2 linked regions of the Saccharomyces cerevisiae S288C genome follow. The gene in region 1 interacts genetically with each later gene. Each region holds a gene or a part of one and is shown in the gene's direction. Other genes may lie near its edges. The genes, in order: YOR387C and ZNG1.

Region 1 (3,242 bases):
CTTGGTGAATACCGCTAGAGGTGCTATTTGTGTCGCAGAAGATGTTGCCGAGGCAGTCAAGTCTGGTAAATTGGCTGGCTATGGTGGTGATGTCTGGGATAAGCAACCAGCACCAAAAGACCATCCCTGGAGGACTATGGACAATAAGGACCACGTGGGAAACGCAATGACTGTTCATATCAGTGGCACATCTCTGGATGCTCAAAAGAGGTACGCTCAGGGAGTAAAGAACATCCTAAATAGTTACTTTTCCAAAAAGTTTGATTACCGTCCACAGGATATTATTGTGCAGAATGGTTCTTATGCCACCAGAGCTTATGGACAGAAGAAATAAGAGTGATTATGAGTATTTGTGAGCAGAAGTTTTCCGGTCTCCTTTTGTTCTTGTTTTGGCGTATTCTCCACTATTCGTCCATAGCACATTTATACCTTAGCTAAATATTTTGTAAAGCAAAATTTTCGTTATCTCTTAAAAAATAGAAGAGCGGTTTATTAATATCAAATAATTGAAACTGCTGATATGGTAGCTATATACAAAATCTGCTGTCAAAATTTGGCAGTAAACGATCTTCACGGTAGCGGTTCAAATAAAGAGGAAAAGTCTTTCTCCCTTACTGTTTTTCTGGAATTTGGCTCGTCGTTAATAACAGAACTAAAGATACAGTAAAAGGAGAGATCGCAATCAACTTCATTAATTGTAACAGTAGCATAATCACAACTGATCATCTACACTATAAACAGTTTTTATTTCTAATTATGGGCGCCTGGCCGGCTCAAACATTGTGCTTTTAAGACTCCAAAAGTATCTGCTGCAGAAAAGAGCCATATAATGTTAAGTGTTCAGGGATAGGTTATCGCTTACTACTTCAAACGTTTCGAAGGAAAGCCAGGGAAGCCTATATCTGATTCCCTGTTTCATAATCCAATGCAGCCACTAGCTTATAATTATTTGAACTATTTGTCGAACATCACAGTAATAAAATCCCCAGAAAGTTCCACTTGCTGCATATTGGCACCTGTTGATTCACTCTCCATCACTTTTTTGTTAGCCGCCCAGCCTAGAAAGTCTTTAAATACATCTGAAATTTTTTTTTTTTTAACAGTGCACCCGTGCATCATACCTCATGCAAGGTACCTTTTTTTCTCAAAGGTATTGTCTTCCATTGAAGTGGCACTATGGCATGATGAACCCTGAGCATTTCTGAATTCAACAGAACCAAATTGTCCAGAAATAAATCTGTCCGACATGAATTATGAAACTTTTTTTCAATTAAGTGAAGAGAATTTTGCAGCGTCTTACCATTATTTTGACCCATTGGTCGCATGTTTGCGCTTTGACTTCGAGAACCATGTTAAAGCTTACTTGTACGACAACCAATGAAGTATATTACGGCAGTTTTTTTGGACTGGGTCAAAAAAAGTGTTGCATAATCAAATCAGGAACACATTAAAATGTTGTAAAATTTGTCTTAGTATCACCTGAGTGGTTATTCATTACGTACTACTGTCAAAATATTCGGATCTTTCCTAAACGGGCTTTTGAATTAGTGTTGCTTCTATTCCTGGAATGGAAGGTAATACTTTCATGCATTCTCGCTTTTCGGACTTTTAACAATAAATTAAAAACAATGATACTTTCATCAACTACCTATACACCCTGCGGGTCAATTATTTTTTTTTCGAATAACCGCTGAGGTTGGAAATATAGAAACATATTCCAGATCTGTATTTTCAGTTGCTAGAAAAAGGTTAATATAATCATTAAGGTTTTCAGCATATAACAGGTATAATTGATATATAAGCATCGTAATTTTCATTCAAAATGGAGAGCTACTGCTTCTGATAGATTGTACAATCTCAAGAAATCAAGAACAACAACCATACCATGAGTTTCCTAAACATTTTTACTTTTTTCAGCGTCCTTGTGTCTGTTGCAACAGCCGTCAGATTTGATTTGACTAACGTCACTTGTAATAACCTACATGGACCTCACTGTGGTACCTACGTTATGGAAGTCGTTGGCCAAAATGGTACATTTTTGGGTCAATCTACGTTTGCTGGTGCCGACGTTTTAACTGAAAGCGCTGGTGACGCTTGGGCAAGATATTTGGGCCAGGAAACAAGATTCCTCCCAAAGTTGACTACTATTGCTAGCAATGATACGAAGAACTTTTCTCCACTAATCTTCACCACCAATATCTACACTTGTAACCCTCAATCCATTGGTGATGCTATGGTTCCTTTTGCTAACACTGTTACTGGTGAAATTGAATACAACTCTTGGGCAGACACCGCTGATAATGCTTCCTTCATAACCGGTTTAGCTAACCAATTGTTTAACTCTACTCAGTATGGCGTTCAAGTTGCTTCCTGTTACCCAAACTTTGCTTCTGTTATTTTGAGCACCCCAACTGTGAACATTTTCGCTGCGAATGAGACATTACCAGATTATTGTACCGCCATCCAGTTGAAGGCCGTTTGTCCACCAGACGCTGGTTTTGCTTGATTTTTTCCAGCTGCATAATCTGTAGACATATTTTAAGTATATTTTTTAGGCAGTTTTATAAATTAACAGACTATAATTATTTTAGAGAAAAAGACCCAGATTTATACTTCTGACTTTTCTTTTTTATGTTGATCTTATTGTCACTGTCATTGGATCATAATAATGATTCTTTTTTGAACTTCTCTTGAAAGTATCCTCTTATTCTCTTTTGATGATAGGTCCAAATGCACGTGTACTTAGAGATTAGAGCGCAGATGGTTTTCTTGTCAACATCATATCAATTGTTTGCCGAACCAAAATACAACGTTGACTTGATCGTTCCTAGGTCCATCAGCTACTGCACATTCTTACGAGTTATTCATCCGTGAAATATAGCTACATTTTCGAGCATATCTTGAAGTGGTCCATTCTCAACATCACCCTTTCAATTACGCGTGTTTTAAAATACCCAACGTCGTCAGAATCCGACTGATCATCATGGTAAGACTATTGCTCCAAGCAATCTAACCAAGGCATTCTCTTTTCCCTTTTAATTAGTTCACAGTCACTGGCAAACAATCTTCTCTAATCAAAAAAAGAAATTTATTCTATATTGTCTTCTCCGTATTTTGCCCTCTTCACTCCTTTTGCCGTGCCTCGCATAATCTAGTTATTGTGTTTAATATTGTTTTTCTTCTTGAAAACTTGTGTAATAATTTACAATAAAATTTAGTGTTATAGTGAATATACTAGAGAC
Region 2 (3,907 bases), on another chromosome or scaffold:
TCCAGTAAACATCTTTGTTGTGTTAACTAGCTCCCAATGGTTGGTAGTCTTATTCTCGAATGGCAATTGAGAGGCGGTTGGCTCGTGGGTGATCAAGAAATCAAAGGAGGGCCACATTTCCTGCAGTAAAGTCGTATTTTCAGTCTTATCGTAATTGATGCCGTACACACCGTAGTTCAATTCACCAAATAAAGTGACACCTGTCATGCAAGGAGGTATGCTGATATGAACTGTAGCGTTTGTAATATTTTTTTCCACAATCATGTCATTAAAAGAAGTTAAAGCCTCGCCGCCTGGATAATTCATTCTTGATATATACAAGAACGCCATTGAAATGAAAAAGGAGGTCATTATAGATAAGGGCAATATAGCCAAACATAAAACATTGGTAATCTTTTTTACTTTCATATTCTCCCATAGATGTGCTGCTCCTGTGGCACCTAGCAACATGATAGATGGAACAGCGTAGATGATGAATCTCCATTCTTTGTGAGGTTGAAAGGATAAGACGATAATGTGGAAAAGAGATGCTAGTGAGACAATTTTTAATTTTGCAGGTGCTAATTTATAGCCGAAGTAATTCAATAGTAAAACAGTTGGTGGCATAAACATCATTCTCAAGTAATGCGTGAAATAAGCAGTAACTGGCTCCACACCCCACTTGGAAGCGTAACCCGCAACCACGTTGAACAAGAAACCATCTACCTCAGGTAGACACCATTCTTGCCAGAAATATGAATCAACGGTGATACTGATGGCGGAACCAAGTCCCAAGCCAAAGATACCGAATTTGATAGCATCGAATAAAGAAATCTTCTTGAAGATGACGCTAAATAGAGCAATACCAGCACTGAGAGCTGACACTTCCAGTCTAAATACAATTGCCACGAGCGCAGATAGGAATATAGCTGCATTATAACGACCCAATAAAACCCACCCCAATGCGACGTTGGTTAGAGGCAGAGTCATGACAAAATTAGGCAGAGTCCTAGTGCTGTAGAACATGAGGTGGAAACTGCCAATTAAAAATAAAAGAAACCATGTACCAGCGCTATCGTAAATGTATATATCCTTGTCTTCATTTTCTTCCTTTTTCTTTTCAGTGATTTCATCAAACATATCTTGCAAACAATTCTTTAAATAGATAAAAGAAAGCCCATTGGTGAGGCCAACAATCCCCCTAACGACCAATTGAACATCTATAGACGTAGGCCTGGAAGTTTGGATCAAAGAACTCAAGTAAAGATAAGGTCTCGAAAGCATTGCAATAATCACAGCACCAACGAATGTTCTAGGGACTACTCCAGGAAATTTCAAGTGGTCATATTGGGAGATATCAAATACGCTGTAGGTTAAAATATCATGAATGGCTTGAATATTAAAACTCTCTTCCACCTTGGTGAATGGAGCTTGGATTAGATGAAAGGAAATCACGGTCAATAGCACTGTATCAAGGACAGACCAACGCATTGTCAACTGAATCGTTGTTTAATGGCTTTATTCAACTCTTTTAACAACACTAATCGTTAATGGTTTCACTTGCTATTAGTAAATTCCTTGCGTTATAAACTGTGAAGTGCCACGACATTTAATGCCGGCTGGTAAAAGGTTGTTCATTTTTAAGGGCCGAATTTTTCATTTTCATTTTCATTTTTTTTTTTTTTTCACTATTGGAATAACATGTATATTATAAATATTATATAATATTAAATGTTTAATGCGCTTGTAAAGCCAAGAACACCCTTTTCATTGAGGAATTTTCAACTTTTAAAGCGGAAGAATGTCTGCATTGAGAAACATCAAGTTCAATGAAGAAGAAGATGGTGAACTACCCTGCCTCGTAACAGGTGAAGAAAATAATCTACAAGAAATTTTGGAAAATGTCTCGTATGATGGTGGAAATATTGTTAGCGATGCAAAAGTTGAAAGGGTAAACAAGCAAGTGGAGAACACTTCTGCAGGCGCAACAGATGTGCACGAGAAAAAGCGTATTCCTGTGAGCATTATTACCGGCTATCTAGGATCAGGTAAATCGACGTTGCTGGAAAAAATTGCATTAAAAGGTGCAGATAAAAAAATTGCCGTAATTTTAAATGAATTTGGAGATTCTAGTGAAATCGAAAAGGCTATGACCATTAAAAATGGATCGAACAGCTACCAAGAATGGTTGGATTTGGGTAACGGGTGTCTGTGTTGTTCGTTGAAAAATATAGGTGTTAAAGCCATCGAAGATATGGTGGAGCGTTCACCTGGTAAAATCGATTATATCCTTTTAGAGACCTCCGGTATTGCAGATCCCGCCCCCATTGCGAAAATGTTCTGGCAGGACGAAGGATTGAATAGCAGCGTTTACATTGACGGGATCATCACGGTTTTGGATTGTGAGCATATACTAAAATGCTTAGATGATATTTCCATCGATGCCCATTGGCATGGTGACAAAGTTGGTTTGGAGGGGAATCTGACTATTGCACACTTCCAACTAGCCATGGCTGATCGAATTATAATGAACAAATACGATACTATCGAACATTCACCAGAAATGGTCAAACAATTAAAAGAAAGAGTACGGGAAATAAATTCTATCGCACCGATGTTCTTCACCAAGTATAGTGATACGCCGATTCAAAATTTACTAGATATTCATGCATACGACAGTGTACGGATATCTGACATCTTAGATAGTGGTAGCGGAAACGGTACCATTCATGATGATCGAATGGGCACAATAATGCTTACTTTCAGACCATTAAAAAACGAGGAAGAATATAATAATAAGTTTATTAAGCAATTTTTGCAACCTTTATTGTGGAAGAATTTTGGAGCCATGACAGTGCTGGGAGGGCGTCGCCGAGATGACGGCCGTGATTGGGAAGTACAAAGAACTAAAGGTCTGATACTTATTGAAGGAGAGAACCCCATTGCTCGTGTAATCCAAGGCGTCCGCGACACCTACGATGTCTTTCCAGGCAAATATGACGGATCCAATAAAGAGTGTAAAATTGTGCTGATTGGGAAGTACCTAGAAAAGGAATCCATAGAGGAACTGTTACGTAAAACCCTGGAATGATGGTTGGCATAATAAAGACGAGGTAAGTTATGTATATTTATACGTATGTATGTGATACAAAATGAATGAATATTAAGCGGATGGATCGAAACATTTTAATCCTCTCTAATAGAAACTATTTTAGACGATCTGTTGAATATTCTTTTCCTGTACTTGGCCAAAACGTAGAAAAGTAACAATACCGAAATACCAAGCATAATCTTTGGTAAAGGATGGTGAAGCTGATTATATTTTGCGTCTTCTAACTTTCTTTGACTACCCTGGTATAAATAATTCTTCAATGTAATACCTTTCTCCAAATCGCCGTTTTGGTAATCTTGAAGCCTTTGTAAATACTTTTCGTGAGCTTCCTTTGCATGCTGAATCCTGTGTTCCTGGGATGAAATGTAACCTATTGTTATTGGTTGCTCTGGTTTGCCATTTTCGTCAGTTTTCACATTAGCTAGTTTATCCATCAGATCTTTTAACCCGGCGGTAACTTGGCCAAACACAACACTTTCACCTTCAAGTGGCGTCTCACTGGTCTCAATTATAAACTTAAGACCCTTATCGTCCTTAATCATGGAAACTCTGCCTGGCCTATCATGAATTAAACTATGATTTTCTTCCGGGAGTTTTGGAGCCAACATTTCCGTTTCTTCAATAGAGGAGGAAGAAACGGAGCTACCTTCTATAGCTCCATTCGGTAGAATTTTATCAAAATCGCGTTCTGGCGAGTAACTGTGACGGGAAGCAAGGCGATCTTTTACACTATCAACATACTGGCAAAAAGTCATTACTGTCTTGGGCACCATAGTCCCGTATAAGTCTATTGTTATGAGACGGCCGGCTTCTTCC

The links.
Region 2: mutations in YOR387C (region 1) and ZNG1 together harm fitness more than expected from each alone (negative genetic interaction), as found in Saccharomyces cerevisiae (one large-scale study listed by BioGRID).

The regions. Positions count from the first base shown.
Region 1 is NC_001147.6:1,068,885-1,072,126, reverse strand, and holds YOR387C (uncharacterized protein), read left to right. Parts: upstream 1-1,885; coding exon 1,886-2,506; downstream 2,507-3,242. Other genes in the region: FDH1 (formate dehydrogenase (NAD+)), read left to right, coding at 1-334.
Region 2 is NC_001146.8:676,362-680,268, reverse strand, and holds ZNG1 (GTP-dependent zinc transferase), read left to right. Parts: upstream 1-1,780; coding exon 1,781-3,070; downstream 3,071-3,907. Other genes in the region: ALG12 (dolichyl-P-Man:Man(7)GlcNAc(2)-PP-dolichol alpha-1,6-mannosyltransferase), read right to left, coding at 1-1,470; peptidylprolyl isomerase family protein CPR8, read right to left, coding at 3,166-3,907. UniProt on the Saccharomyces cerevisiae protein: Zinc chaperone that directly transfers zinc cofactor to target metalloproteins, thereby activating them.